4 separate regions of the Mus musculus genome follow, and all the other regions are reported to be linked to region 2. Evidence: microRNA targets listed by miRTarBase, many of them from high-throughput screens and not tested one by one. Region 2 holds a microRNA gene; each other region holds the end of a gene's coding sequence.
What was found. The annotated mature microRNA mmu-miR-3097-5p reads CACAGGUGGGAAGUGUGUGUCCA and lies in region 2 at 4,126-4,148, opposite strand. An mRNA with a match to its seed (bases 2 to 7 or 8) in the 3' UTR can be bound and repressed. Matches are read on the target gene's strand: a 7mer-m8 pairs with bases 2 to 8, a 7mer-A1 pairs with bases 2 to 7 and ends in A, and an 8mer does both.

Region 1: miRTarBase lists Car5b as a target of mmu-miR-3097-5p. Seed matches in the 3' UTR shown: 7mer-A1 at 1,942-1,948 and 7mer-m8 at 2,154-2,160.
Region 3: miRTarBase lists Slc8a3 as a target of mmu-miR-3097-5p. Seed matches in the 3' UTR shown: 7mer-m8 at 4,109-4,115 and 7mer-m8 at 4,822-4,828.
Region 4: miRTarBase lists 1810030O07Rik as a target of mmu-miR-3097-5p. Seed matches in the 3' UTR shown: 7mer-m8 at 4,311-4,317 and 7mer-A1 at 4,764-4,770.

What each region holds. Positions count from the first base shown.
Region 1 is chrX:163,972,810-163,980,940 of GRCm38, reverse strand. It overlaps Car5b (carbonic anhydrase 5b, mitochondrial), which reads left to right. Exons shown (of 8, transcript NM_181315.4): 8 at 1,571-4,119. The coding sequence ends at 1,750. Gm38561 (a long non-coding RNA gene) reads right to left here. Exons shown (of 4, transcript XR_878297.3): 2 at 4,142-8,131. Among named protein-coding and RNA genes, the nearest start is that of Gm38561, 18 kb to the right of the region's middle.
Region 2 is chr5:35,017,067-35,025,197 of GRCm38, reverse strand. Mir3097 (microRNA 3097) reads right to left here and starts at 4,149; the gene lies at 4,083-4,149. Rgs12 (regulator of G-protein signaling 12) reads right to left here. Exons shown (of 17, transcript NM_173402.2): 5 at 5,686-5,855; 6 at 4,792-4,884; 7 at 3,939-4,082; 8 at 2,427-2,606; 9 at 2,016-2,169; 10 at 845-921.
Region 3 is chr12:81,194,763-81,202,893 of GRCm38, reverse strand. It overlaps Slc8a3 (solute carrier family 8 (sodium/calcium exchanger), member 3), which reads left to right. Exons shown (of 7, transcript NM_001167920.1): 6 at 376-651; 7 at 3,027-4,979. The coding sequence ends at 3,403. Among named protein-coding and RNA genes, the nearest start is that of Gm3693, 29 kb to the left of the region's middle.
Region 4 is chrX:12,651,856-12,659,986 of GRCm38, reverse strand. It overlaps 1810030O07Rik (RIKEN cDNA 1810030O07 gene), which reads left to right. Exons shown (of 7, transcript NM_175141.6): 6 at 1,963-2,125; 7 at 3,501-5,108. The coding sequence ends at 2,124. It overlaps Gm4984 (predicted pseudogene 4984), which reads right to left and starts at 7,734. Exons shown (of 1, transcript NM_001101484.2): 1 at 7,162-7,734. The coding sequence starts at 7,684. The coding sequence ends at 7,325.

The DNA of each region.
Region 1 (8,131 bases), not on the chromosome of region 2:
CTGCTTCCAGGACTTGAGGGGTTTGTGGTCCTTAGTCAGGAGTTGAGTGATAGTTGACATAGGCTTAAACTCATTGCTGCAACAGATGAGAGAGGAATTTTAAAGCATAGAGACTGAAAATAGACCTAGACCTATCAAGATTAGGGGCCCAATAAAGGGGGTTATCCTTGGTCCCCCAAGTACCCTCCAAACCTGTCCAGCCTGATGGGTGGGATCTGCCTTGTGATTCTATTCTTTCTTTTAGCTTTCTGGCATTGTTCTTTATGACACCTGAGAAATTCATGTAGAAACAATATTCCTTCACTTACACAGCACAGATTTCTCCCTTCTTTGCCAGAATGAGATCTAATCCTCATCTACTTTGTAATACCATGGCTGCCAGGAAGTCTAACTGAGTCTGGAGTGGTTTTTTGTTTGTTTGTTTGTTTTTAAAGTTGTATTTATGTATTTTGTCTGCATGAATGTCCTGCACACCGGAATCGGGCATCTGATCCCAGGGAACTATGATTATAGGCAGTTGTGAGCTGTCATGTGGGTGCTGGGAATTGAACTCAGGACCTCTGGAAGATCATCCACTGCTTTTAGCCACTGAGTCATATCTTCAAACCCAACTCTAGAATTTTTTGATGCTGTTCCTGTACCAATGTCAGATCAGCCTTGATTTGTCGAGTGAGCGAGTTGGTTGTGTTGAACTTGTTGGAGTGCAATGGTCATTGTTCAGAGGCTCAGAGTCCCTGCCATGGTTGCTTTCAATATCATCCCTTTTGCTTTTAATAGGTGTGGGCTGGCGGTTTATTTTAAAAAGGATCAGTAGGTGGAAGGAGAGGATAATGGGGATGGGGAAGCAATAAGTAGGATCAAAATATATTACATGTAAGAAAATTTCATAATGAGACCCATTATAGTATATAATTAATATATGCTAACAAAACATTGAAAATGTTATCTGACATTTATAATCTTAATCGCTGGTCATTTTAGCACTCAGCATTATTAATTATTTGGGCAAATCTTTCTGATTTTATAATATACATAAGTTTATGACAAACTGCAATCATTTGTATGTATCATTTTTCTAGTCTTTTCTCTCCACCTACATACCTCAGAACCAAGGAGATGCTGTAACTCACCTTTGGCAAACAGCTAATTAATATGTTGGGACAAGGGCCTTTGTCCCTAATCTTCAGATTCTAAAAGCTTGGCTTTTGACCACTTCCTGCTGCTGTCACACAACCATGCCAGCAACATGGCATTTAACCCCTTATCAAGGGGTGAAGAGAGCATTCTCAGAAATAAGTTCTCTTTCTGAATCCAATTTGAGACAAAGGATTGTAGAATTATAGAAATGAAAGCAAACCAAGTGTGGTGTGGTGCATATCTATAATCCCGTTATTTAGGAAACAGAAGGGGGTGGCTCTCCAGGAGTTGGAAGCCAACCTGGTCTATATAATGAGTTCTAAGGGTTACACAGTGAGACTCATGACAAACAAACAAACAAACAAAAAAGAAAGTAATTTATCCATATACTAAAGCTTGTTTCTGATTGATATTCGTAATGTTTTGTTTCTAGCTTGAGCAGTTTCGGACCCTGCTTTTCACTTCTGAGGGAGAGAAAGAGAAAAGAATGGTGGACAACTTCCGCCCTCTTCAGCCGCTGATGAATCGCACAGTCCGCTCATCCTTCCGCCATGACTATGTGCTCAATATACAAGTGAAGCCCAAGCCAACAGCCAGCGAAGTCACCCCCTAAGACAGCATTCTTCAGCAGCATCTTGTTTTAATGACTATTAGCTTAAAATTTTAACTAGATTATTTTAAAACACAGCATTTAATAATACTTATATGTATACATTTCTATTTTTTTCTTCCTTTTTTGGGTAACATTTCAAAATTCCTACTCTTGTAAAGCAAAGACCGGGAGACAAACGAAGAAAAACAAAAACCTGTACCCAAATAACGTCAATCTGAGGTCACCCTTTCTTTCTTTCTTTCTTTCTTTCTTTCTTTCTTTCTTTCTTTCTTTCTTTCTTTCTTCTTTCTTTCTTTCTTTCTTTCTTTCTTTCTTTTTTTTTTTTGAGACAGGGTTTCTCTGTGTAGTCTTGGCTAGCCTGGAACTCACTTTGTAGACCAGGCTGGCCTCGAACTCAGAAATCCACCTGTCTCTGCCTCCCAAGTGCTGGGATTAAAGGCGTGCGCCACCACGCTCAGCAGATTTACTTATTATTATATGTAAGTATGATGTAGCTGTCTTTAGACACACCAGAAGAGGGTGTCAGGTCTCATTATGGATGGTTGTGAGCCACGGTTGCTGGGAATTGAACTCAGGACTTTCAGAAGAGCAGTCAGTGCTCTTAACTGCTGAGCCATCTCTCCAGTCCAGAGGTCACCCTTTCTTATGACAGCGTTAAGGCAGAGGAATCTGCCAGGCAGTGGTGGCGCACGGCTTTAATCCCAGCACTTGGGAGGCAGAGACAGGTGGATTTCTGAGTTCGAGGCCAGCCTGGTCTACAAAGTGAGTTCCAGGACAGCCAGGGCTACACAGAGAAACCCTATCTCGGGGAAAAAGAAAAAAAAAAGGCAGAGGAATCTTCATTAACTGTTAAATCTCTCTAATCTATTTCTCAGACAGTCAGAAAGACAATTTAGTTTCCTTTTGGTTAAATGGGGGCTTAATATGAGTGCCTGATCTTGATTTTTCTGTTTGGGTCTAATTCAGGAGCTTAGCTCACAACAAGAGGTTCTTGTGAATTTGATTTTAAAATGCCCCCCTTTTGTTCAAACTGGTGAATTGTCTCACCTTTCATTGTTGGTCAAGTTCTTAGCTACCATCATTTGGAGGTGAATGGCTCTCAAAGTTTAGGTGTAAACTTCCTGGTTTTAGAGTATTTCATGTCTTTTTTAAAAGAGAAGGTCTCATCTGTGTAGCCCTGGCTGTCCTGGAAATCACTATGTAAACCAGTCTAGACTTGAACTCACAGAAGTCTGTCTGTCTTTGCCTCCCAAGTGCTGGGAATAAAGGCTTGTGCCACCAAGGCCAGCTTTCATTATATTTGCTCTTTGACTGATAATAATATGTGTCATTGGAATATTAACAGAACATGCAAGTTGCACTTATAGCAATCTGTTAGTAATTGTGTTTTTATATCTGAAATTGTGTATGTGTGTGTGTTTTGAGACAGTGTCCCACTCTGTAGTCCAGGCTGGCCTGGAACTCATAGTTAAACTTTTGTCTCAGTCTCTCAAGTGTACAAGGCACCACACTCAACGATTATATTTGCCTTCCTTGGCTATCCTTTTTATTTGTGAAACAAGGTATCCTTTAGCTCAGGCTGTATTAGAAGGTGCTGTGTAGCAGGAGCTGCTTTGAAGCTTCAGGTCCTCCTGCTTCCACATCCCAACTGCTAGCATTGCAAGTGTGCGCCACTCCGCTCAGCTTCAGCTCTCTTCCAGTGTTCATAGCTGTGTAGAATCACAAGTAGGGATTACAGTCAAACTGTTAAAAACTACCAATGGTGGTGCTACTTACCACACAAAGCCCAGGCTTCTCAGAAAACGTCTGTGGGAGCCCAGACCAGCAAGTCCGAGCTGAATGCTGGCCATAGTTTTAGGTATATTTTGTTTCAAAACTTGGGTGTGAATTTTTGTATTCATACTTCTCAATGAGTATGTTTATACTAATCTTTAGTTGCTATTACTAGCATATGATATGTCTACTTATTATCAATTTACTGTATAGAAAATACATTTGGTAGTCATGGGCTGGCTCAGTGGGTAAAGACACTTGCCATGTGAACCTAAAGACCTGAGCTTGATCCCCAGAGCTCACATAACTAACCCCACCAAATTGCTGTCTGACCAAGCATCTTTCATCCCATACATACAACCACATACACATTATAAATGCACACAATAATAAATAAAACTTTGGGGGACGGTTCAAGACAGGGTTTCTCTGGATAGCCCTGGCTGTTCTGGAAACTCACTCTGTAGACCAGGCTGGCCTAGAACTCAGAAATCCACCTGCCTCTGCCTCCCAAGTGCTGACATTAAAGGTATGCGCCGCCACTGCCTGATCTAAATAAAACTTTAAAAGAATAAAAAAGAAGCTATATTTTGTAATCACAAGAAAAGAAGAGCTTACTGTTTCTAGAAGTTCTTTTGCATTTTTCCAAGTCAGATGCTTTACCATAGAGTTTGGGATTGTATAGGGAGTATGTCTCAGGGTTATTACTGCTGTGAGGAAGCACCATGAGCAAAGAACCTTGGGGAGAAAGAGGGTTTGTTTGGTTTACTCTTCCACACACTGCTCATCATTGAAGGATGTCAGGGCAGGAACTCAAGCAGGCTTGGATGCAGGAGCTCATGCAGAGACCATGGATGGTGCCGATTACTGCCTTGCTTGCCCTGGCTTGCTCACCCTGCTTTCTTATAGAACCCGGGACTACCAGGGGTGACATCACCCACAAGGGACTGGACTCTTCTCTATTGATCACTAATTAAGAAAAACATGCCTTACAGCTGGATCTCATGGAGGCATTTCCTCAATCAAGTTTCCCTCCTTTCAGATGACTCTAGCTTGTGTCAAATTGACATAAAAGTAGCCAGGACAAAGCATATACAGAACGTTCTAATGATTGAAGTGCTAGAGGACAGAAATATTTCACGCTGGATTTATAGAAATACATCTCAAATCATCTAGTAGTCAATTATTTTTAATATTAGTTGCATTGTTCATACACTGTTACATAGAATACAATAGCATTTCCAGCAATATTTTTCTTTTATGCATAAGGGTATTTTTCCTGCATGCCATGTATGTCTGTGCACCACATGCATGCTGGGTGCCCAAAAAGACCAGAAGACAATGTTGGATCCCCTGTAACTGGAGTTACAAATGGTTATTAGCTATCTTGTGGGTTCCTCTTTAAGAGCGTCAAGTGCTCTAAACTTAGGAACCATCTTTTCAGTACCCTTTAATATTTTATAAAATTGATTTTATGTGCTTATTAGCCAAGGTGTGTGTGTGTGTGTGTGTATGTGTGTGTGTGTGTGTGTGTGTGTGTGTGTGTGTTGGGGCTGGAAAAGCATGCTGCTGAAGTTCTATTTTTTGGCTGGAATATAAAAATTGTATCATATTTCCTGAATATATTTTCTATAGTACAAGCTATGATTACACCAGCTCTTTGGCCAACATGATAGTCACATAGACTTAGAGTAATTAGAATTGTAAAAGCCTCTGTGTTCAGCATATGCCTCCCTTGTGGTGGTATGAAGCTAAACCATGCACATTCTATACTATTACTTTTTATTACTGAAAACACACATAAGTGTATATCCAAATGCAATAGTCACAGAATTTTATCTCATTCTTTTGTTAATTGTCCAGTTCAAAAATTAAGAATGATTCTACTACTTAGTATATAACTCTCCCCCTAAGCACCATAATCACCTAAATTTATTAGATTATCATTTTGAATTGGATATTGTATTTGTTTACATTTCAAATGTTATCTCCCCTTTCTGGGTTTCCCCTCTGCAAACCCCCATCCCATCCCCCCTTACTCTGCTTCTATGAGGGTGTTCCCCCACCCACTCCTGCCGCATCACCCTAGCATTCCTCTACACTGCGCCATCAAGCCTTCACATGATCAAGGGCCTCCCCTCACATTGATGGCAGATAAGACCCCTTCAGCTCCTTCAGTCCTTCCCCTAACTCCATTTTGGTCCCTGTGCTCAGTCCGATGGTTGGCTGCTAGCATCCACATCTGTATTGCTCAAGATCTGGCAGAGCCTCTCAGGAGACAGCTGTATCAGGCTCCTGTCAGCAAGCACTTCTTGGCATCAGCAACAGTGTCCGGTTTTGGTGTCTGCATGTGGGATGGATCCCTAGGTGGGGTAATCTCTGGATGGCCTTTTCTTCAGTCTCTGTTTTGCTCTTTTTCCTATATTTCCTTTAGACAGGAGTAATTCTGGGTTAAAATTTTGGAGATGGGTAAGTGGCCCCATCCCTCAACCAGGGGGCCATGCCTAACCTCTGCATATGGTCTCTACAGGTTCTCCCTCCCCTTTGTGGGGTATTTCAGCTAATGTCATCCCCGTGGAGTCCTGGGAGGCTTTTGCTTTCCTGGCATCGGGGACTTTCTGGTGGCTACCCCCAGTTCCCCATCCCCCATTGCTACACACATCTGCTCAATTTCCTGATCCTCTGTACTTCTCCTCTATCTCCTCCCATACCTGATTCTGCCACCCTTTTTCACCCTCCCCCTCCTCTCTTCCTCCCAAGTCCCTCCCACCCTCTACTTCCCTTGATTATATTCCCTTCTAAATAGGACTGAAGCATGCACTCTTTGGTCATCCTTCCTCTTGAGTTTCATGTGGTCCATGTATTGTGGGTATTCCATGTTCTTTGCCTAATATCCACTTACCAGTAAATACATACCATGTGTGTTCTTTTGTGACTGAGTTACCTTACTCAGGATGATATTTTCTAGATTCATCCATTTGCCTGCGAATTTTGTGAAGTCATTGTTTTTAATAGCTGAGTAGTACTCCATTGTGTAAATGTACCACATTTTCTGTATCCATTCCTCTGTTGTGGGACATCTGGGTTCTTTTCCAGCTTCTGGCTATTATAAATAAGGCTGCTATGAACATAGTGGAGTATGTGTCCTTATTACATGTTGGAGCACCTTTTGGATATATGGCCAGGAGTAGTATAGCTGGGTCCTCTACTATGCCCAATTTTCTGAGAAACTGCCAGACTGGTTTCCAGATTGGTTGTAGCAGCTTGCAATTCCACCAACAATGGAGGAGTGTTCCTCTTTCTCTACATCCTTGCCAGCATCTGCTGTTGTCACCTGAGTTTTTGATCTTAGCCATTCTGACTGGTGTGAGGTGGAATCTCAGGGTTGTTTTGATTTGCATTTCCCTGATGACTAAGGATGTTAAACATTTCTTTAGGTGCTTCTCGGCTGTTTGAGTTTCCTCAGTGGAGAATCCTGTTAGCTCTGGCCCCCATTTCTTGATAGGGTTATTTGGTTCTCTGGAGTCTCCAGTCTGTTAGTCTATGCCTTTTTATTGGGGGAATTGAGTCCTTTGGTGTTAAGAGATATTAAGGAATAGTGATTGTTGCTTTCTGTTATTTTTGTTGTTAGAGGTGGAATTATGGTTGTGTGGCTATCTTCTTTTGGGTTTGAAGATTACGTTCTTGCTTGTTCTAGGGTGTAGTTTCCCTCCATGTGTTGGAGTTTTCCATCTCCTTTGTAGGGCTGGATTTGTGGAAAGATATTGTGTAAATTTGGTTGTGTCATGGAAAAAAATCTTCGTTTCTCCATCTATGGTAAATGAGAGTTTTGCTGGGTATAGTAGCCTGGGCTGGAATTTGTGTTCTCTTAGGGTCTGTATGACATCTGCCCAGGATCTTCCAGCTTTCAGAGTCTCTGGTGAGAAGTCTGGTGTAATTCTGATAGGCTTGCCTTTATATGTTACTTGACCTTTTTCCCTTACTGCTTTTAATATTCCTTCTGTGTTTTGTGCATTTGCTGTTTTGACTATTATATGACAGGAGGAATTTCTTTTCTGGTCCAATCTATTTGGAGTTCTGTAGGCTTCTTATATGTTCATGGGCATCTCTTTCTTTAGGTTAGGGACGTTTTCTTCTATAATTTTGTTGAAGATAATTACTGGCCCTTTAAGTTGAAATTCTTCACTCTCTTCTATACCTATTATCCTTAGGTTTGGTCTTCTCATTGTGTCCTGGATTTCCTGGATGTTTTGGGTTAGGAGCTTTTTGCATTTTGCATTTTCTTTGACTGTTGTGTCAATGTTATTTATGGTATCTTCTGCACCTGAGATTCTCTCTTTTACTTCTTGTATTCTGTTGGTGATGCTTGTATCTATTACTCTGGATCTCTTTCCTAGGTTCCCTGTCTCCAGGGTTGTCACCCTTTGTGATTTCTTTATTGTTTCTACTTCTATTTTTAGATACTGAATGGTTTTGTTCAATTCCTTCACCTGTTTGGTTGTCTTTTCGTGTAATACTTTAAGGGATTTTTGTGTTTCCTCTTTAAGGTTTTCTACCTGTTTATTTCTGTTCTGTATTTCTTTAAGGGGATTATTTATGTCCTTCTTA
Region 2 (8,131 bases):
AAAAACATGATCCTGCTGGCCCCTGAGCCATAAACCTATAGTTCTCTGTGAGCCATGAGGCCAGAGGACTGGAGGCCCAGGTGAGACATCCTCCCCAACCCCCAAGGCACATGACCACCACCCTACTGACACACAAGTACAGGCACTTTATGTTTTCCAAAACTAAGCTGGGGTACTGGGCAGCAGTAGGTAACCAACTCATCATGGCCTTGATAGGGTATTTGGAGAAAGAAGAAATAACCACCTATGTTAATGCTAATTGTTGATGGATAGGTTCAGATGTCACAGTACTGACAACCAACAATGTTTCCTAAAATTCTTATCAGGCAATGGTTGACAGAGTAGCAAGTCTTGAGTTTTACCCAGTTTCCCTCACAGCAGATTAGCAAAGAGCAGGGTAAGCAGGGTGCCTTGAAGAGACCTGCAGGACTCTGCCAGGCTCTTAAGTAGTAGGCGGCCAGCTCCTAGGAGCCCAGGGCAGACACAGACCCTGGAATGTCAGAGTCAACAGGAGGTCTGAGCATCAAGCTGAAGACAAAGCCCTACTTCAAAGCTACTGTGTACTCTTAGTGGGGGTTCAAACAGTTTAACTAAATCAGAACAAAGGCATCTAAGAAATAATCTCAAGGCTAATTTTAACCTTTCCGCAGTACACTTCCCCACCTACTAAACAGTTTTTCCCGCTGCCCTAGGAATCCTGGGCTGGGACCCAGGGCCAGTGTCCAACCCTGGCACACTGTTCATGAACCGAATGCTGGGTGTTTAATGAGCCAGGCTTCACCTACCAGTAAGTCAGCCTACGACCCTTGCAATGAGGGGAGGTGGCCAATGAGGGAAGACTCACCAGGTCTAGGCTCCCCGCAGAAGATACAGAGCCTTGGGACTCCCGACGGCAGAGGCCTCCATTGGCATGAGGGGCATCTTGAAAGAAGGGAATGACCAGGGTGAATCAGAAGCCACCGCATCACATGCCCTCACTCAACCCCTATCTCACCCCTCAGATGGATAGACATAATACAGTAAGGACAGAGAGAAAGCAAAACATGAGAGGCCCTTCCAGGCACCACCTGCTCCACTGGGGTTTAGTCAAACACCTCCCTCACAGCAGAGGTCAAGGGTCAGGGTCACCAAGGAGGTCACCACTGTGGGGGCCCTGTAGGACCTGAGACATTGCCAGGCACTAGAGCAGGGGGCAGTGCTGTGCAGCCCAGGCTCATGTCCCTGGGTGGACATGTCTTATTTGAGCCATGATTTCTATCTCAAAGTGCTATTTTGGGTCTGAAGAAGCCTGTCCCTGTGACCAGCTGGCTACTCATTTTACTAGTAACCCATTTTCCATCTTCTTCCTCACAAATCCCATTCATAGCCAATAGTCCAAGTCATTAATTGTTCTAACCATGATCTAGGCCAGCCTACATACGATGTAAGGGCCTAAACACTGTTTTACCCCAAGTCTGACACTCAGGCTCCTGGATCCAGTGACCTACTCTGAACAAGTACCTTCTCGGGCATCTGTAGACCCTGTACCAGGCAGACAGAGTATCTGAGCTCTGCTGCAGCCCTCTCCAGATGACTGCAAGTCTGCCAGGTATGGGAGGCCTCCATGGGACGCACACCCCATCTCCAAGTCCCCATCCACCAACACAATGGCTGACGCACATGCATTGGCACAGGCAAGAAGCTGTGCCTGGCTACGGGGACAGCACATTTGTGTTTGTTTCTCTTTGCTTGATTCTGTTTTCCAAGTTTCCTACTGAAGCACCTGCAACTTTCATAGCAAGAAGAAAAGGAGCCCAGTCAGCCAGACACGCTGCATCAAGGAGTTTCCAGAAGGTTCTGGAGCAGGCCTGCTTCCTAGGCTGGCTCATCCCCAACTCTGCTGGATTCCCAGGATCTGTGACATTTCTTCATCCCTCCAGATAACTCCGCTGTATCTCTGCCTGCCCACCATGGCCTCTCACGTTACCACAGCAGTCCAGCTCCCGCCCACAACAGCATGGTCTGCATTCACATACCATGGGCATGGTCACCATGGTCCTTCTTCTTCTGGGACCGCCCCGTGCTCCTGCTCCTTGACCAAGAGAAAAAGGCCCCTCTGCGTTTTTTCTCACTATCCTCCTCCCCAACATCTTCATTCAGGGATCGTCCTGATTTTGATTTTCCACTTAACTGTCACCAAATAGAAACATCAGTTAAGACACTAAAGGGGCTCAACACAGAGCTCTATGAGTAAGGATTCTGAGGAATCAGGTAGAATCTTCAGTGGGTCAAGGGCACAGTCCTCTCTTTCACCACCGAGGTAGCCAGGGGTTAGGGGATCAGGAAAGGGTTCAGGAGTATCTGTGTCCTACAGGCCCCACCTTCTGCTGGTGACAGGATGTGTGGTTACAGCCTTACTCTCACCCCCACAAGGGCTAGCCCAGCACCTTTTTTGGTGTGGACACATTGGAGTGGTCAGAGCTGATGCTGTGCTTGGAAGCTGGGCTGCTGGGGACCTGCTGAGAGTCCGGGAGGGTACGTCCCTCCACCTCTGCCAGGACGCATTCTTGGTACAGCTGGGATTTCAGAAAGCGAGTGTAGCTATCAAACTTCATCAGGTTGAAAATCTGTGGAGCAGATGCCATGCAGTATAGTCACAGAAAGAACGGTAACTCCTTAGGTCCTAGGCGGTATAGGAGGTCTGTACCCATGAATGAGTGACATTTTGGAAGGGTGTCATTCCTGCCAACCCTCCCTTGGGCCCCAGGGCACTCAGATGTTAATTAACTCTCCAGGGACCCTTCTGATCCCTGTCAACAGCCTCTCCTTTGTCACTCTTAGTAAGAGCAGAGTCATAGGCATAGGCACAGCCAGAAGGGCAGGCAGACTCAAGACTGTGGCTGCACCCTTAGCAGGCCTTCACTTCCTAGGAACTTGGAAGGCAGTTGTCTCAAGGGTAAGTGAGGCCTGGGGAAGCTCTGCTCTGTTTTAAGCTAATTCCTGCAACCTAGCGGCACAGCAGCTGGCAGGGCTGGGAAGTGTGTTCTGGACGGGTCAGATCACATGCTCTTCCAGAATTAAGACACAAACATGTAAACAGGGTTCCATGTGCATCCTGTGATCCGGCAGAGGCTGAGGCACGAGTATGTGAGCTTCATGTCAATGGTGGTGAAATTACACAGTGAGATCCTGTCTCAAATGACAATTGCTGCTACTGCTACTAAGCACGTAAACATGTAAGTATACAGACAGGTCCACAGCATTCTGGATGTACACTAGTGTGGCAGCGACGTGTGCTCATAGAAAGCTTTCTCTGGGCTGGGATAATGCAGTTATCATCCGCTCTCAAATGCTGGAAGTGACACCGAACTTGCTCAGAGTCAGCCCTGCAATCATCAAAGACCACTGACCTTCCATAATGTGCTGTTGTGGCCACGCTGTAGCTGTCATGTTCTGTAGGTCAAGTGTGTCCAATGTGCATACAATTTTTTTATACTTATTTATTCATTTACTTATTTAGTGAGAGAGAGAGAGAGAGAGAGAGAGTGTGTGTGTGTGTGTTGTACACCCACCATGGTCCGTGTCTAAAGAGTACAACTTATAGAAGTTGATTCTCTCCTTTCACTATGTGGGTCCCAATGATCAAACTCAGGTTGTCAGGTTTGGCGGCAAGAGCCTTTATCTGCTGAGCAGTCTCACCAGCCCCATAGACTTTTGAAAAGTAATATTGTCCCTTACTTCGGTTGACAGTGGGTACATGGGGCTATCTGTGGCAAAGGCTTTATTGTTCCTCAGATCTACTGAATCCTTTTGAGACTGGAGCCCAGTGGTCAGATGGGCTTGTCACCATGCCCACATGACCAGCAGCCCCCTTCCCAGAAGGGCACGTGCTACTCTGAGTGACTCTGCACCCCCAAGCCTTGGCTGGAAGCCCCATGGAAGACTGTCTGCAAAGTCACCTGGAGCTGTTGTTCCTTGAACATGTCAGGGTGGGGTGCATTGAGAATGTCATCTGCCAGCTGGGCCTGGCTGTCAATGTTGACAGGAGTGGTGGCTTTGCTGCACAGGAATTTACTGAAAATCTCCCGGGCCCTGTAAGAGAGCTGACAGGTAGAAAGGTCTGAGCAGATCTGTAGACACACCCACTGGACACACACTTCCCACCTGTGTCACTCAAACATTCCTAAGGCTGACTCTGCTTCGGGGCTGGAGAGCTGAGTCACAGGCCCTGTCTATAGTCTGGCTTATGAAAGTAAATATAAAAGAAAGAGCCAGGAGGAAACTCCTGAATCGGCTCCTCTACAAATTTCTAAATGGCTGCAAATTTCTAAATGGCTGCTTTGTAAGGGCCTCAGAGGAGGATCTGCCAGCAAAGTGTGCACGACAGGGGAGGGCAAAAGTGCACAATGCTCAGAGCACAAGACACAGGCATGAGGCCACTCTGTGAGGACAGCTGTTACTTTGGGGGAAAGGCCACAGGACATGGCCTGGGCAGTCCTGGGGCAGCTAGACAGGTGCTGTTAAGCCACAGGTAGAGGCTGCAGTTTGCCAGAGTGCTTCTCCAAGTCTCTTCAAACACTGTTCCTTCTTACCCAACCCAACGTCAAGTGCCACCACTGCCAGGCTCTGTGGCGAGGCATTTATGCAGACTATGTTTAGGCAGAATTAAATGTCACACACTTAAGTTTTTATGCTGAAGCAGAAATGTCACCGTTCTTTAAAGTCAGTAAGAAGCATCCCTCATCGACTGCTCAAGCAACCCTTGATGTAACCTCGGTCCTCACACAGCCCCTGCTCTGAAGAGCAGTTTACCTCTTTTTTGTCATGTGCAGGAACATGACTGAAGCACTCACAGGCCTGCCAGAATAAAATGTTCTCTTCACTGAATTCCTTACGTAGAAAATCCTGAGGGAACACAGGAAGGAGAGCAGTTGTCACTCCACAACCCCTCTATGAAGCTGAGCCCCATATCCCCGGCCCTCTTTGTCTACACCATGGCAGGAAAGGAGCCTCGCAGGGGCCTTGAAAGCAGGCATAGGGGCTGCGCAGCACACGTGAGTGGGCGGGCCATCTGCCTCACAGCTCTTTTCTCAAGGGCTGGTCATCTTTTTTTTTTTTTTTAAAGAAATATATTTTTAGTCTCTGGTTAGCATATAAAATATGACATCATATCACTGACACTATTATCACGTGCTGCTCGTAATCACTCTTTCACAGCTCCATCCCTACTTCTGGATCCTTAAGAGCTGTATTTGTCAGCATGCATTTCCAAGAATTTTGAAGAAGCTCCAGCTAGGATGATGTCATACAACTGTAATCCTAGTACTCAGAAGGATAAGGCAGGGGGATTATGAGTTCCAAACCAGACTGACTAACATAGTGAAATCCAGTCTCAAAACAAACAAAAAAAACAAACACACAGAGCCAAGACACTCTGATGTTCCTTGCTGCACAGACATCGAGAGAGTGAGAGGGAAGTGTGCCGGCAGGGAACTCCAGGGCAGGAGGCAGGCCAGGAAGGGAAAACAGAACTGCCAGCCCCTACAAGTGTACACGCTACCTACCCCATCCTTGAGCTTGGAGCAGGTGCTGGACGACCACACCTCTAACAAGGTGATGCCCAGGCTCTGAGGTCTGAGATGGCCCCGTGAGCTCAAGCACCCGGGCTCAAAGTGCTGCCACCCCACAGCAGTCCCCCTTACTCACAGAGAAGTAGCGAACACCAACAGGATCCTGAAGGAGACGCTCAAATGACACTGCCCAGCTTGCAACTCTCCTCTCTCGTAGGCGCCGGCAGCTCTGCACACTGGGGAGGCTGGCATTGCTGCTCAGGCTGTTGTTGCTGATGCAGTCCTTAAGGTCAGCTCCAGTCAACTCTGCAGGATCATCACAGACATACCTGCACCTCGGAGGCCACAGGTACCTATATCCAGCTCTACTTCCCACAACCCATGTTGTTCACTGAGCAACATGTACTGCACCTGAAACCTAGCCAAGGCTTTCTAGACTTCAGAAAAGAACACATCTCAACTTCCCAGGGCTGAACAAGAGAAGCTATTGCCTAAGGTGTGCATACAACACAGAGCAGAAAGAATGATGCTGAGCATACGGAAGGCGGGAAGGCATTTATAAGTGCACCACAAAGCAAAAGCCCCTGAGTGAAGTCTGAGGAGGGGCTGCAGTTGGTCCCATCACCCTCCTGGTGCTGTCTGCTGCAATTTGGATCCATGGCTCATTGCCTGTGCACTTTTCTGTGTGCAGATCACTTTTCAGTGACGATATTAAGCCACACTATCCAAACTGAGTATTTAACCATGTGTCATCTGGTAGCTCATTCACTGATGACCCGATACAGGAAAATATTACAACAAAGAAAAGGAGATGTGTCTAGGAAGACCCCATCTATCACCCTTGTCACTTGAAGCAGCCCAGGGATGAGGGGAGGGCCACAAGCCAGTGTAAGTAGAACTCTATAGCACTGTTACACATGGTGCTCTGGAGAGCGAGGCACAGGTAGCTTCAGAGACAAGGCCAGCCCAATGTGGGGTGGCACTTTGGGGCTATGCCGTCAGGGGGCTCAGGCAGCAGAGCTGATGAAGGTGATTTTCCACGTGGGATCATTAAGGAAATGCTGCTACGTCACATAGTCACAGGACTCCATCTGCTCTGAGCATTCCGGACAGGCTACTCAGGATACTCTGCCCTCTGGTCAGGTCACAGGACAGATTCCTGGGGACAAGTTAGCAGGCTCTAGTTTGAGATCAGTCACTGAAGTGCCCTTTCTAGCAAGGAGGGGAGGAGAGGAAGACAGGGGACTGGAAGCAGCACAGACACTTATACTTTCAGATCACACCCGGAATAGCATGCAGATGGCAAGTAAACCACAACATAGAGGGCCTTGCAGGAGGCCCGGCATGGAGACTACAAGTCTAGAGGAAAGTGACCCTGAGGGCTAGGAGCCAGGCCAGAGGTGTGACTATAGCCTCCTAGTACATCTCCCTCAGATCAGCCTGATTTAGTATTGGGCAGGAGTGTTCAAAGCCAGACAGTATGTAGGTGTGAAGCAGCAGGGAAAGCCATGTGCTAACACACTACAGATATTTGTGTCAGAAGAAATGATATTGTGAAATTACAACTTTGACAATTTTAATTTTTCTTTGACCCCTACCTTCACCCACACACACTGTCTATGCATCAACCACTGTTCTGAGAACCAAAAGGGGGGCTTGGGCCAGGATACATCATAGGAGCTCTGGCCTGTTCTTCTGGAACACTGTTTAGCAGAGTGGCATGGTCAGAGCACTGACATTGCTGGGAACTGAGACTGTTCAGGGTCACCAGCTCACCAGGTAACTCAGCCACCTCAAATGCATGACATGAGCCTCACACACTCTGTGGGGCTGGGATCCCACACAGCCCATCTCTGAAGCTGATCTGTGTCCAGTGACCAGAGCAGATACTGATTTCCTCAGAATACACATTTAAGTCCAAAACAGGTTGACAGGTTCCCCAAGAGCTACTACACATGTGGAGTGAGACAGTCTCATCAGAGAACTAAACAGAAAGCACAGGAAAAGGCAGGATGCTCTCTACCTAATCCCATTGTGTCACCCAAACCCCACTATATGCCATGCCCATGCCCACTGAACACCACGCAGGCAGGAAGATGTGGTGGAATAAAACCATTGGAGGAGCAGAAGGGAACGTGCAGGAGCAGATGGGGACAGATGCAGTGGAAGTGGGGACTGAGCCACATCTGACAAAAATTAGGCTGGGCTCTTGCTTTCCAGAGCCATTAAAGCTGACCTCATAGGCCCAGGGATTAAGATGTGAAATGAAATTGGAGAAAAACTGGGAGATCTGAGTGAGGAGAGGCCTGGAGGGAAGCTCGCACAACACGGAGCACAGTGGTATCTGAACCCCATGGAAAATGCCCAGGCAAAAGGCTAAGGGTGACATATGGCACACACAGACAGACTTGGTGTGGAACACTCCTCCCACATCAAGATACCGGGTAGACAGATGAGCCAGAAGAAGGCAGAAGGAAGCATGACCGGTACAAGGCTTCTAAGCACATGGGTCTGGCTTAGAACCCACGGAAGGCTCCAGACCACTCTGACTCACTTAGGTAGCTATAGTCACGGGCTCTACA
Region 3 (8,131 bases), not on the chromosome of region 2:
ATTTTGTTTTCTTTGCCTAGATCAAATGCATCCAGTCCCGGCCTTCTTTGTCCCTCCTCTGTATCTCCTGTCCTGTTTTCCCACCCTGCCTCTTAATCCCATTCTCTATTCCTTTTCTTTATCCCATGGCTTGTTTGCCTTCTTCCGTGCTCACTCAGCACCCTGCATTTAAGCTGATCAGTGGCTGCATGACCAGTTTGTTTCCCATTTCCCAACTGTTTGTGTGGTGCCCACCCTGTTTCCCACCTGCTGTCCAGAGAGAGCTGGATCCCCATTCTGGCCTGGGATGCCTGGGATGTGGGTTGGACTTGACATTTTCATGGGTGGAGCTCTGACCTCCCTTCCCTTTCTCAGGCCTGTTTATCTTATCTCCAGGAGGGGATGAGGATGAAGACGAATCTGGAGAGGAGAGGCTGCCATCCTGCTTTGACTACGTCATGCACTTCCTGACGGTCTTCTGGAAGGTGCTCTTTGCCTGTGTGCCCCCCACAGAGTACTGCCACGGCTGGGCCTGCTTCGTGGTCTCCATCCTCATTATTGGCATGCTCACCGCCATCATCGGGGACCTGGCCTCTCACTTCGGCTGCACCATCGGGCTCAAGGATTCGGTCACAGCTGTTGTTTTTGTGGCATTCGGCACCTCTGTGCCAGGTGAGAGTGAGGAGTGCTTAAGTTTGCAGGGAGGATGTCCCCTCATTTAAATGACCCCTACACTCTGCCTAATCTCAGATCAGAAACAGCAGGCCCTGTGGGTCACAAACAATTCACATGGCCAATCCCTGCCCTGCTCATCCAAGCCTTACTAGACAGGGGAAACTGAGGCCTACCAAGTATATGGTACCTAACCAAGTGAGTGGCCCGATTTCTTAGCCTTCATGTTATATTAATAAGATACACGCAATGTAATTAAATAAATAGAATAACGCCCTTCCATTTGCCTTCGGCAGCCTATGAGAGTTTAAAGATTAGCCTGCTCACAGATGTCCCCATAAAGATACCTACAATCCTTGTTGGCCTCCCTTGCTCCTGTGGTCACCTTTGAAGTCAAAGCGTCTCCTATCAGAACTGGCATGAGAACCTTAGTGGGATTTGTCCTTTAGTGTGAGGAATTCCATGCTGTTTATCTTCTTCTAAGCATCCAAAGGCAAACCGCAGTAACTATTCATTAATTCGTTTAGTAGACTAATGTTGACTGAGCTCTCAAGATGCCTGGTACGGTGTTGTGCTGGTTGCAGATCTATTATGTGAGTCAAGGCAGACATGTTTCCTCCTCAGCCCTTAGCTAAAAAAAAAAATCTAGCAAAGGAGACTAGACCCAACTAATTAAAATCCATCTTAATAATTCCTATGAAGTAAAGGTGTCAAACAGGAAACCTTGAGTTAAGCTGAGTCAGGGCAGGTCCTATGGAAACCATGCCTGAATGACAAATACTAAGTAGCAGGTATTAGGCCAGGCTCCCTACTTAACTCAATCTGGGTTTCTACGGCATTTGAACTCTGACCTTTTGCTAGCTTCAAGTATTTGTACTAAATCTCACCAGGCAAAGGTCTCCAGGGTGAATCTGGGGCATCCGTCACCGTAACAAAGAAGGATACCCTTCCAGAGGTCAATTCTAAGTATTAAGTTCTTCAGTGTGGCTATGACAGAAATCCCAAGAGAAAAACTTAAAGACGGAAGAATCCATTTTATTCACAGTTTTGGGGTGTCAGCACAACATGTCATGGAAGGATACGATGGAGAAAAGCAATTCATATCTTGCTTGACAAGAAACAAAGAATGTGGTAAAAGGCCCAAGGCAAGCTATTATCCCCCAAGAAATGTTCCCCAGTGAGATACCTGCCCCAACTAGGTCCCTCTTGCCTTTCAGTGCCTCCTAATAATGTCACTGAATTATGACTTCATTAGTGAATGTGTCCATTCCTTGACTCATAGCCCTTAGGATCTAATAATCTCTGGAAACTTCATCACAGACACACCCACAGATACCATTCGACCAATCCCCATCTAACCAAGTTAATACTCTAAATGAATCATCACACTATACCCACAGCACATTTCAGGAAATCTTTCTTCTAAAATCCCAGCTCAGACTGGGGGGCTGAGAGAACTGCTTTATGAATTAGTGATGTCAGAAATCTGGCTATTATAGAAGTGAGTCTGCTGTTAAGAAATCAAATGGTGCCAGGAGCCTTGCAGGTGAGATGCCCTGTGCTCACTGCTCCCCAGGCCTTGACATGCCTCAGCCATCAGAGGGAAAGGGGCAGATGTGAGGGGGAAAGACATATGGGGAAAATAACCAGGGATAGATAAGAGCCAACCTGAAAAATTATAGTTAAGATAGACCAAGACACTTTCCCTGGGAGATCCAGGAAACTTGGCAACAGTGAGATATCAGGATATACTGCATAGGGGCATAGTTTAAGGTATTTCCAAGACCCAAAAATTGGTCCAGAAAGCACATGACGACACCGGGGCTTTCAGAAGAATATGCTATGGTTCATATCTCTGATTGCATGGCTCTTGATGAAACTCTTTGGCTGTGGGAGGATACTATGAAAAGGATTCTTCCACAGGAATTCTAGAGTCAAGTCTTTAGCTAACTTAAGGACCTTCTGTAGATGCCTTAGCCCTTATTTTCCTGAGCACATGGGCATCGTTCAGTCGCCGTCGAGGTTACGTGAGTGCATGACCCACATGACAGTGGCAACCTGCTTCCAGGGATGTGAAAGTTCCTTGGGTAGATGTTATGAATTATTTCTTTGCTAAAAACAGAGTCAGTGGGGAACGATATGCCTGATAGGTAAATATTGGGATGGGAATAGCTCGTAGAAAGCTTCAGATACCTACAGATGAGGACTAGGAAACCCTGACCCATATTGGATGCACTCAAGGCCACACAGCTCAAGAGTAGCAGAGCTGGAAGTGGTCCCTTTGCCCATGCTGCCAAGCTGCCTATAAAGGATGCTCATAAGGCCCCGCTCAGCCCATCCTCCCACAGCTCCCATTTGTCTCTGTCCTTTTCCAGATACATTTGCCAGCAAAGCCGCTGCCCTGCAGGACGTGTATGCAGATGCTTCCATTGGCAACGTCACAGGCAGTAATGCCGTCAATGTCTTCCTGGGTATTGGTTTGGCCTGGTCCGTGGCCGCCATCTACTGGGCCATGCAGGGACAGGAGTTCCATGTGTCCGCTGGCACTCTGGCCTTCTCGGTCACTCTTTTCACCATCTTTGCATTTGTCTGCCTCAGTGTGCTCTTGTATCGTCGGCGGCCCCATCTGGGCGGGGAGCTCGGAGGTCCTCGTGGCTGCAAGCTTGCCACGACATGGCTCTTTGTGAGCCTATGGCTCCTCTACATACTATTTGCCACGCTGGAGGCCTACTGCTACATCAAGGGGTTCTGAACCGCCGGAACAAGACCGCCACAGGGCAGACCTGGGACTTCTCCTGAGAGAAGGACGCATCCTCACCAACCTTCCCAGGTTACTCATCCCTGGAGCAGACACATCGGGACCCGAGCCCCAGGAACTTCACCTGACCTTGGCCCTGGCACTGCACAGAAAGGGCAAAACTTAACCAATCCAATAAACTGGAGAAGGCATCCACTGTCCAAAGTATTTAATTAAAAACAAACCAACAACAGCAAAAAATCCACCTCTCCCCATCCTGCCACTCACAGCCCTGAGCGTCCCCTTCTATCCCACCACCCAACTATTCCTTTGACTCTAGTTCCCCACAAGGGGCAGGATCTGCCCTGTCTCCAGCAAGATGCATCAAGACTCCCTCACTCAGCTGTCAGGGTATGAGAAGGAGCCATCTGGACAATGGCTGCCTTGGGATGCTCTCTTCACCTGGTCGTCATTGTAGTCATTTTCATTCTCCTACCAGGTTATTGTCTTGTCTTCTCTTCCTGAAGTTAGTGACAAAGGACCCTGAAGGAATTCCAAATCTGAGTGACAGACACCCTCCCACTCTCATCAGGCCGCTGCCATCTCTTGGCTCCAACTCAGGGCATAGGAGGAGCTTCATTCTTCGTGCATTGACATCAAAGCCAAACCACAGAGGAATCACCTTCTTCTCAGTGGAAGCCATTCTACGTCTCTGTGCTGCACCTGTGTGTGTGTGTGCCCTCCCACAAAGAGACTTCAGAGCAGAGATAAGAGTGTTCCAGGCTGACCAAGGGCACCCGGGGACACACGGGGAACACCTCTCCAATGTTTCTGAGTTTGTGTCTGAGGTGGGGGAGAAGAGGGTCTTCAACTGGGGAGGTCTCTAAGGGAGTGTGTCTCTAAGGGTCTCTTAAAGTGTCAGTGATTGGGGGCATGGCAGCGTCACCACCCCTCCCTGGCTGATGTGCCATACTCCGAGGGCTGAAGAGGTGGCTTGAAATGAATTTGGAGGCTTGTAAGAGAACAGGGGCTTCCTTCCCCCTCTCCTGGCCTTCAGGCCACTTTTGAAAGCATGTTCATTGGATGGGGACCGGAATCCTTCATTTCCCCCATGTTCCTGCTTGTTTTTAAACCGCATAAAGCTCCCTCTTCCCAGACTGTGGGGCATTTCTTATGCCCTGCCCCCAAGGGATCCAAGTCACCACATTGCCAAAGAATCCAGGCTTCTAGAAAACAAGAACTGACACGCTGACACCCCACCTCCCAGACCTTTCCCCTGTGTGTTTTGAAAAGACCTGGCTTTAAATCACACACACACACACACACACACACACACACACACACACACACACTACAAAACTGCCCACGGGTCTTGAGGCTTTCTGCATTGACATAAATACATTTTCTAAGAGAGAAAGACAAAATTAAAACGACACCTGTTTAATTTTAAACAGATTTTTTAAAAAGAAAATAAAAAATAAAACAATGCTCGTGTCCTAAGCTGTGTTGACAGTTGCCGGTGGAAATGTTGGGTTGGTTCAAAAAAAAATAATAAAAATAAAATAAAAGGTCTACTTATATGTCTCTACACACAGCCTGCTTTCCCCCTGTGTTTCTTCAATGAGTGGTCCAGGGGCCACCTTGGGTATCTGCTGAGGCAGATGCAATTGAACTGAAGGTATTGTCTCCTATCACACACAAGGACTAATATGCTAGACATAGTATTTTTTTTAAACAAAAAAAGTTCATGGAAATGATATCTGTCACAGCCAGACTTCAGGAAGCAGGAGGACGTAGGTCATGTGGGTTGTGTAGATAGCAGCAAGGAAACGTTTTGTACAAGAAGGGAAGGGCAGGGAAAGACTGACTAGAAAGACATACTTAGCCAGGGCTCCTTACACAGAGACTCAGAGTCATGTCTGTTTGCTCAGGACTCACTCAAAACTCCTACTGTGTGCACCTCCCATGTGTTCAGTTACATTCTGGTGACACAATGAAGACTTAGTCCTTGACCATAAGAAGGTCACAGTGGAGAAGATGAAGTAAAATTTCTTTTAACACAGTGTTTTGGGTTCTAGGAAATAGGAACCAATGAAAATGGTTCTCGAAACAGAGAGGGGCGTGCACTGGGATGCCTGGTGGGGGAGGGGTTTGTGGAACTCAGATCGGGGGACCTGAGGAACCAAGACTACCTTCCCTGTCTGCCATTCATGTGTTCTCTCCAGTTCTTGCCTCTCTGTGTGTGTAGCCCTTCCCCTCCTCTGGTCTGCTCATCCCATCGTCCAGCTCAGTTGACAGCCCTAATATGATTTCATGGCCTCACAACCCCACTCCACAGAACTAACTGGAGCTTTCTGTTGGAGATCTGGGAGCAAATTTGCAACTGAGAGAATGCAATTAATTGCTAGTACCCAGAGCAGTATTTCTAGAAGGCAGAGACCTTTGTAGAAGGCGGTGTTGGTGAGTGTGTGCAAGCATGCATGTGTGCGTGTGTGCATGTGTGTGTGTGTCTGTGTGTGTGTCTGTGTGTCTCTGTGTGTGCTTGTGTGTGTCTGTATGTGTGTGTGTGTCCATGTACACACAGGCACACATGTGAAGAGGTGGGGGAAGCGCATGTGGCTGGGTAGCTATGGACTGAATCCATTCCAGGCCCAAACAAGACAGAGAACATAAGACAGAGAACACAAGGATGTAGAAATTACACTGCAGATCAGTGACCCTTCCTAAGCTGAGCAGGACGAGAAGCTTCTAGAGCTTGTGATCAGGTGCAAATGAAAACGGCCCTGGGCCACGGGTGCTCAGAAGCATGGCATGGACAGAGGGCCACAGAACACAGCCGTCAAATTACTGACTTGGCCTAGAAGAATGGAGAAGGACCTCACAGAGAATGAGACCTTGAGACAAAAATAAATGGCAATTTATTTTGGTGAGAGGACTCAGCATCTAGAAGACAGACAAAAAGAAGCAGCGTGCCCAAAGGCAGAGGATCAGATGGGACCACCAGTAGAGTTCAAGAAGGGGGAAAGGCAGGCGGATGCTAGCTATGGCCTGCTTGTGTATCTAAGAAAGGTTTAGGTCAGGGAGGTCTTGTGTTGAAGGCAAAAGAAAAGGAATGGAAAGAAAGTCCCACCACTGCAAAAATGAATAAATAAATACCACTTCGCTTTCTGCATTGCAGAGCTCTGTCCTTGCCTAGGTTTAAATTTCTGGCCAAACTGGGGCTAAGAAAAGAAGATTTGAGAACGCAAGTCCTGCAAGGAGGTGATAACTAGGCAACAATAGGTAGGTAGGTAGGTAGGTAGGTAGGTAGGTAGGTAGGTAGGTAGGTAGGAGAAAGAGATGGACAGGGAGAGGGAGGGAGAGAGGAAGATCTGGGCTAAAAGATCTATTCCATTGTTCCATGTTATTGCTAATTAAGAATGAAGATAAAAGTGTTTTTAAGCTGATTCCATGGGAGAGACTAAAACATGAATGCCTTCTGTGCACATCTCTCCTTTGCTTTGAGTCATTTCTAGATCAACCAGGCTTGGTACTTTATTGAGAATGAAGTAGATGAACCCTAATCAATGTGGAGGAGGGGTGAGGATGGTGTCCAGAGAGAGGAAGGACCTTAGTCTGAGTCTCGACACCAACAACTAGGTCCCTGGATTGAGTGACACACCTCTAGGCTCACAGCCTCTGAAAACTTCTAAAGCCAATTACTTCCAGCATTAATGTTGAGATTCCAGAGCATGTGCACAAGGGGGTGGGATGCACAGGGTGATATATGCAAACCACCTGACAGCCATAACCAACAATGAATCGGTATGAAGGTGACATTGCCAGCCAGAGTGCACAAACTGAGCCACAACCTTCCCCATCTCTTTATCTCATTTATTTTCAGGACATAATAGCTACCATAATAAATCAACCCCAAGACTTCAATAGTTTAAGAGAACATGAAGTGCACTCCTCATTTATGTAATGATCTAAGGATTCTTGGTCAGCAAGTGGCTTCCTTCCACATGATGATTCAGGGACTTGGTGTCTTTCATTTTATAACTTCTACTTTCTGCATGTCTTCTCCATTCATCTCAGGTAAAAAGTAAATTGGAGGTGATACACACACACACACACACACACACACACACACACACACACACACACCTAACTGCCTTAGCTTCTAAGTCATATCACATTTGCCCACATCCAATTAGTAAAAGCTAGTCACTTTTACTCTTTCAAATGCAAAGACACTGTGACATATAGTCCTTAGTTGGGCAGTCACTCTCTTGTAACCTCTCTAAACTGCAAAGGATCTTTGGTTGTAAATGATTGCCTTGCCACAATGCCTTCGCGATTAAGGAGAGATATTTTAATATTAATACCCAAGAACAATCTGACCTACGTCTGTACAGTTTTCAGAGCCTTTAATATACATCATTTGTGATAAGAGCTAGAAGAGGTAGATACTATTCTTTTCTGTCAAGGGTGTTACAAGTGGTTATATGATTACCCTGGAGCTCACAGACAGTACGGCTCAGGCAGAAACACAGGTCTGATTCCAAATTTTGCTCAGCATGCCTGTCCTAGAATATCATGACCTCTTGTAGCAAACACCAGAACAAAGGATGGTAAGAGACTAGAATCTTAGGAGGCTGAATGTAGCCAGTGAAAGAAGCCCACAGAGAGGCAGCCAGTTACCAATTGGGAGCACAAGAGAAACCAGCCAGCAGTTAGTTCTCCGGGCTGTCCACAATGTCT
Region 4 (8,131 bases), not on the chromosome of region 2:
CTCAAGGCCCTGGTTCAGTTCCCCAGCTCCATCAGTTTAATAGTAATAGTGCCTGGCATTTTTTTAAAAGATTTATTTATTATATATAAGTACACTGTAGCTGTCTTCAGACTCACCAGAAGAGGGAGTCAGGTCTCATTACAGATGGTTGTGAGCCACCATGTGCTTGCTGGGATTTGAACTCAGGACCTTCGGAAGAGTAGTCAGTCCTCTTAACCACTGAGTCATCTCACCAGCCCGTGTCTGGCATTTTTGTAAGACTAGGGGCCAGTGAATGTGTTCTGGGATAAGACCAGTGCAGACACTACCACTCTTGAGATGGCTAAAATGTTGAGGAGTATGTTGCTGGGAGATTTAAATCAGTATAACCTCTATACATAGCATTTCTAGCTAACTACTAAAATTAAGACAGACTCCACTCAATCAGAGTTAAAGCTGCCTACTATTTCTATAAACAGAAATGTCATTTATGTGAGCCACATATGTGTGAGGGTAAATTCCACATGGTTACTTGTTTCAACAAAAGGTTCAGAATGTATTGAAAGTGAAATTTCCACAATTGGAATATTATTCAGCCATTAAAAATCAGGCTTAGGAAATATGGAACTATGGCTGAGAATACTGGCTGCTCTTGCAGAGGACCCAGGTTTGGTTCCCAGCACCCACATGGTGACTCATGGCCATCTGTAACTTTAGTTTCAGAGGGATCTGATGTACTCTTCAGGTCTCTGCAGGCATCATACACAGACAGACAGACAAAGCACTCATACATGTAAAATAATCCAATAAAATAACGAGGCTTGAGACAGGAGGTAAGTAACGGGAGCCCGACCTTTTTTTTTTAATTATTAAAACTGGATGATGGTGGTGCACGCCTTTTAATCCCAGCATTCAGGAGGCAGAGGCAGGCAGATCTCTGGGTTCGAGGCCAGCCTGAGTGAGTTCCAGGACAGTCAAGGCTACACAGAGACACCCTGTATTTTGCATATATGTATAAGAGGTCTTGACCTCTTCGCTACTAGTAGATTCAGAGAGAGCAAGTGCCTGTAGTTACTGGAGCCCTTGGTGATCTCAGTAAGTGGCTGTGAATAGCCCCAACTGGGTGATCATACAGATGGCCCTGATTCAACTAAATGGGTCCTATGGGATAAATAAAGTCAGAAGTTCTGAATCTCGGGAAGAGACACTTAGGGAGGAGTAAGGGGACAAGAGGGCTAAAGAGTGGTGGGGAGATAACAGAATACTTGTGTACACATAGTCTGTGATTTCAAAAATGTGTACACACAAACACATGACATGTTTTTAGAAGAAATTGGATCCTTTGCTATGGTTACATGTAAAGGAGGAAATGGAATAACTAGGGTGAGATTTAAGGTTTTTTTAACCTTATACTCTGTTGACATGGAATTTTGGCATGTGTACTGTTTTATAGATTTATCTTCCATCAGTAATACTTATATAGACATCCTTTATGTGGCTGATGTTTCTGTGATCATGTTTGGTTTGCGTGGCAGGTGCTTTTTTATTTTGTCTTACTTATTTTTTGGTATAGGCCTGCAACTTGTGTTCATTTTTCCTCCCTCAGCTTTCAAACTGCTGACTTTAAGAGGTGTGAAAACCATGCCTGGCTAAGTGTACCTTTTGTGTGTGTGTGTGTGTGTGTGTGTGTGTGTGTGTGTGTGCTTGGTTCAGTATTTCTTCACAATGCCATCCACTCAACCTCTGTGTAGATGCTTGCCAGTAGTCCGCATTTCTGTCTTGTAGTAGGCATATAAACAGAACAGGTGGTTTAGGGCAAGAGTGAAGCTGGAAGGCAGTACCTTGCACATGCCAAGTGTGCTCCTGCTGCCGAGCTTCTCCTGCAGCCCTGGGAACCAATCTTGAGATTACACTGTTCCATTTTAATTGAATTCTGTTACAGTAATTATCCTAAGCAGCATTTTGTACACTTTCCTCTTACAGATCTCAAATCAACTGGATGTGGTGAAAGGTTTTCTGGGAAGCAACACAGATCTTAGAAACGGCCTTACAGAAGACTTGCAGAAGCTAGAGAGCCTCCATCTACAGCATCAAAAACAAACTTCAAAGGATGCCGGTAGACAGACACCTGAAAGGAAGGCTTGAGGTGAGTGTAGGTACTGAATGTTAAAGAGGGACACAATAGCCTTATCCCTTTGATGTCTGACTTCTCATATGAACCAACAGTCTCACTTGCTCTTCGCTGTGCCCTTACTATTAGAAAGGAAGGTTGGGAATGGTGATGTATAGCTTTAATCTCAGCATATGGGGAGCAGAGACAGGTTGATCTCTGTAAGTTCAAGGCCAGTCTGGTCTACAAAGTGAGATCCAGGCTAGCCAAGACTATACATACATAGTGAGCCTGTCTTAAAACAAACAAACATAGAAACCTTTTCAAAAGCAGGCCAAGTGCCTGTTCTGTCATTAGTGGCTCACAGACCTGTGAAAGCTCAACATTCTGGAGCAAGGTCAGCCACATAACCCTGAAGGCAAGGTCTGGTGTTAGCTGAGCCACTATATCATTTGTGACATGGTCTAAAACCATTCTGCTTTCAGATGATGCCCGGGATACCCAGTTTTCACTGTAGCATTAATTGTGCTTGGCTAGTGTCCATTAGAAAGCTGATTAATGTAAATATCTCTACTGTTCTTCTCCCAAATAATAATGAAAATACGGTCTTATTTTACATTGTCCTTCGCAACATCCAGGCTTGTTTTGTGAAAGTTGGCCTGGCTTCCAGGTCAGGCCTCCTTCTCTGTGCAGAGAGGAAACATTTCTAAAGCACACAAGTTTCTGTTGTGTGCCTTTCTATAATGCATCAGAGATACTTTTTTCATATTCATCAACTTGGAATTATGTGATGTGCCAGGAATGGTGCGGGAAGTAAGTGTCCAAATAAAAATGTTTAACTTTGTTTTTACTTATGATAAAGGAAAGAGGAAAGTGGTCGTTTTCTACCATTTCCTCTTGAGTGTGGAACTGTTACTGTGGGCTCGAAGCCAGAGACAGAAGTGAAGCAAGAAGGTTTATGCCTGTGACCTCAACTACTCCAAAAGCTGGGCTAGGAGGATCCCAAGTTCTAGGCCAGCCAGGGCAACTTCGGGAGCCCCTATTTCAAAATGAAAACAAATCGTAAGGAGGTGGATGTGAGGCAGTTATACAACATTTTCTTCCTCTGCCCGACCCTGGTGTCAGTTCTCAGCTCGCTGTCCCCAAAGACGGAGCAAAGCACGCACACTTGCAGCATCTCCTGAGTACTGCAGCTCAGGCTCTGGGACTGTGTGGTTCTGGAAATGCTAGGAAAGTGCTTGGAAACTTCATTCTTAGCAGTAGTCAAACAAAACTTTCTCTTTCACCGTGCTCATAAATTCATTCCCAGCTCTGCTCTTCTTGAACTGTGTGGAAGCCTTGTACTATTGTGTGCAGTGTTCTGTGGGAGTCAGACTCACTTCCATTTCTTCCTCGGTCTGCTCATTCCCAGGGTCTTTGCCATTAGACTGCTTCATGTCACCTCTGGACGTTACTATGTTCCCCGAACTACCTAGAAGAAACGCTCCATGCCAAGGCTCGGCAAAGATGAAGTCACTCCCTCACCTGGCCAGCTGCCTGCCCAACAGGGATCCTCCAGAGAGGGGGTAGCAATAGAAACTGGATTTGGCATGTATTTCAACTTTATAACCCAAATGAATACAAATGTGCTTTCAGCTTGCTTATTTAATCTTCCAGGTTGCTGTTTAGTTTTCAGTGTTATGGTTTCTTTCTCCCTTCATTTGTGAAAGTCCTTGAGAAGACTTCAAGCAAAGCAAGATTTTGCATTTATTTTGCCACTTTGCCATAGGAAAAAAAATCAATTCCCTTCTAGATCTGAAGTACAAAACATAGAATGTTGATGCACTAACCCACAAAGACCTGGTTTCTAACTGTAGGAAGTTTGAGATCCTAACCTTTCATTTTATTCTTGTCTAGTTATTTTGTCCTTATCAATTCAACACACACCAAGTGTCAAACCTGTGCCAGACATTGAAACGAGTGGTGAAATCCAGTCTTACTACCTTCATCTGCCACTCGGACAGTTCAGAGGTTCTGTTCAGAGAACTATACCAGTAACATTACAGTGAATTGAAACAGAAAAGGCAAGACCCTTGTATAAAGGGCTCGAAGACAGATGTGCTGAATACAGAGGTAGCGGCCTGTCCCACGTCTCTTCCACAGAACTGTGCCTGGGTATGTCCGAATGGATGTTCACAAGTTGAGGACCTACTAAATAAGTTGTAGAACATCTGTACTATGCCACCTGTCTTAGTAAGGGTTCTATTCCTGCACAAACATCGTGACCAAGAAGCAAGTTGGGGAGGAAAGGGTTTATTCAGCTTACACTTCCATACTGCTGTTCATCACCAAAGGAAGTCAGGACTGAACTCACACAGGTCAGGAAGCAGGAGCTGATGCAGAGGCCATTGAGAGATCTTCCTTACTGGCTTGCTTTCCACTGGCTTGCTCAGCCTGCTCTCTTATAGAACCCAAGACTACCAGCCCAGAGATGGCACCACCCACAATGGACCCTCCACCCTTGACCACTAATTGAGAAAATGCCTTACAGCTGGATCTCGTGGAGGCATTTCCCCAACTGAAGCTCCCTTCTCAGTGATAACTGCAGCTGTGTCAACTGACACACAAATCCAGCCAGTCCACCACATAACTATTCTAAAGAATGACCCCATAATGAAGTGCAGTCATGGGAATTACCTGTAAGGCATCTAAAGGAAAGAAACGGTTTGAAGGGTGGACTGGAGCTCCGTGGTGGGGCGCTTGCCTACCCAGCATGTGTAATACCTTGACTAGATGGCTGTTCCACTGCCAAAAGCAAATCAATAGAAAAACAAAGTATTGAATAATGATGAGCATGCTATAGTGCTGTTTGTGTGCTATAGTAACTGAGCTCTGGAAAGGGATGGTCTGCTTTCTAAGCCTTTCTTCTATATTATGTCTCTAAGAGGAATTGGGGCTGTGGGAGCAGTCAGAGGAATTTAGCTTTTCTGCTTTGTATATTCTTTTTTATAATAAACATGCATCTGTGTATTTTGAAAAATTCTTACAGTTTTTAATTTCAAAACAAGGCGCATGAATAACACACCAAATTGTAAGCCATGCGAGTCAGATTATATGGAGTTTGCTGTGGCCTCTTATTTTGTAGCTCCACCCCCAGGGGTGCTTTTGAATCCTAGCACCAGGGAAAGAAACCCAGGAAAGACAAGCCTTCTACCAAGGCTGCCCTCATCGCCTGTAGGGTGCCTTGTCTCCATCCAGTACGCTTTACACTCAGCCTCTCCCCGGGACACTGGTGCTTGATAGTTTGAAAGAATTTGTAGAAAAAAAATGGCTAAATCATAGTTGCAAAGATCAGGAAATTATCAGAGATTGCCTCCTTTCCCTTTACTAGGTTAATTAGAAATTTACCTGCTCTGCAAAGCATTCACTCAACAGTGGCCTGTATTAAAACACATTCAAATTATAAAATACACTTTGCAAGACAGGCCTAAATAGTAATTTCAACTCATGTGATTCTCAGTGGAGTGAAAAAATCCTTTAATGTTTTAATAAAAATCTTAATATAGTTCACTTCGTAACTTTAAGGACTTGGCAGAGCACTTTATACCAGCTCTTTGCAAGGTGGTCTCTATAACTGCAAGGCTGTCAGAGTAGCAGGGCATTTTTAATTTCAGAACCTTGTGGGGCAGGCCAGCCTCCACACCCCTAGTGATCCTTGCTTTCTGGTATTGCACAGTGCAGCAGGGTTGCTTTGTGAACATAGCAAAAGTGATGATAAATCACTTCGTGACTAAGCCTCAGCACAGTAAGACTTTAATCTTCCATCCTTTGCCAACACCACGGTGGGGGAAGCCATGCTGTGCCTTGAGCAGTCTTTTGGAGACTGCTACAGGAAGACACAGAGCTGAAGCCTCCCACAAACACCCATGAACCTGGAAATAGAGCTTCCAGCCACAGAGACCACAAAACTGTGAGAGTATGTTGTTCTATTATTGGGTGGCTGGTTATATTGTGGCAGGCAATTAATATCCTGTCCTATAATTTGTGCCCTACCCTCCACCCTCATATTCAGAATATGAAAGGGACTTCCCACGAATGACTTTTGCTAGGATGCTGCAGATGCGTGGATGCTTAGATGCTTGGTTCCTGCAGCTTTTCCTGGAGTTCCACTGTTGGCCTGTCTTAGCCAAGAGCAGATGGCTTCAGAACCTATAAGAAGGGGTTTAAATCTCTTTGCATCTGTAAGCTTGACCACAGGCAGGTTCAGCACTTGTGAATATGTGTATTGAGTCCCCCCAAAACCACATGGGCTTTCCTGTATTCAGCAGAATCCTAGGCAAGGCCCGTGTGGATCAAACCCCAGGGGACAGCTTGTCCTAGCTATAATGATCCTACCTCACAACATCGGTCTTCCCTCTTTACAAGCTTTTCGGTTTAATACATCATTGGCACCCAGAAAATTCCTAGGGGATACTCTGAGCTGCTGACCAGTGACCCTCACCCCCCCACCCCATCCCTAGCTAGTTAACCCTGGGGCAGGGCTTAGCAACTGCACAAACTCCTGTAGTTTCCCACTTTAAAGGGAAAGCATTATAATTTGGGCATGTTTTCCTAGAACTTGCTGAATTGACAGCAACCATCCTGAGCCCAGAAACCATTCTGAGTCCTTTATCCCATCTCCATGGCAACTTCCATTATTGTTCTAGGTAACCAAGAGCACTAAACTCTTAAGATGTAAACTGGAATTTCACTACATTTAAACTCCCTTCTAAACATTTCTCTCTACAGAAATAGCCCCCAACTGAACCCCCTTTGGTGTAGGGATTTGTCACTACCAAATTTTAAGTAGCCCGTGGCGCCAAACACCCTGGGTACCCAAAAGCCTGTTCCCTAGAGAGGGTTTTGGTTGGTTGGTTTTGTGCAGTTTGTTGTTGTTGTTTTATTTTTTAAAGCAAAGCTATGAGATAGTTTGGTTCTCCTCTTGTCTTCCTCCCTGAAGTCTTTTGAAGAGGGAGACCAACCCACCAATCTGCCCTCCCTCTTACCTAGGAAACCGTTCCCCTCCCAGTTCACAAAACAGGCAACACTCAATATCAATTTGATGGCTTTTTTTTTTAATTAACCAATCTGGTTTAAATCAGGTTTGAAAACCAAAGTTTTCCTTGGCTTTTCTTTAGGAGGAATAGAGTCCAGTGCTTGCAAGCTGCAAAATCTGGTTCAGGCTACCCCTCTCATCCCTTCCCCCAGTCATGAGGCCTATTTGGCCGGAGGGTTGGTGGCTTTGGCCTTGGCTCCACCACCATATTGGTGCTTCAGGAAACGGCCCGCCTGGATGCTCTGCGCCAACACGTTGGAGAAATGGCACGCCAGCAGCAGGTAGTTTCGAGGCTGGACACGGTAGGCAAAGCGCATGAAAGCCATGGAGTAGAAGATGAGGGCGGTCGTCATGCGGCCGCTGATGATGTCGGGAGGCGCCTTCATATCCTTAAAGGCGGCCAGCGGAAGGCCCCAGTTGGCCACAGGACCCCAGAAGTGGGTGCTGGTTATATAATCCCGAAACTCCTTGGTCTTAAGATAATCTAGCGTTTTCCGCATTAGCGCTGCTACTGCTGCCATGGTCGCCTCAGTCGGAGAAGTGCCTACAGCCAAGCTGCCAGCCACCAAATGAGCACAGAAATGCGGACCTCACAGAAGACCCTGACGCAGCAGCCGCTTTGTGCTTTTGCGCCTCTGCCATAAAGGACACCAGTTCACGCGCTGCTGACGTGCTCAGTTGACGTCCTCAGCTGACTTGAGGCTTTTGGCAAGGAAAGTGGCGGCTTATGGCTGTAGCCCATGGGGCCTGCGCACATGCGCCCTTCCGTATGATTGCTGTGGGAGGAGGGGCTTTATGTAGCTTGTAGCTCTTCCTACACCCAGACCCATGCAAAGGCAAGGAACTGAGGGCTCTACAAGCAGCGCAGGGCAGTGTGACCCAGCCGACATCTCTTCAGTTACTTCTTTCATCCAGCCTGTAACTCCATGGCAATACAATTTCTCAAACATGCAGAAATTTAGTCTTTA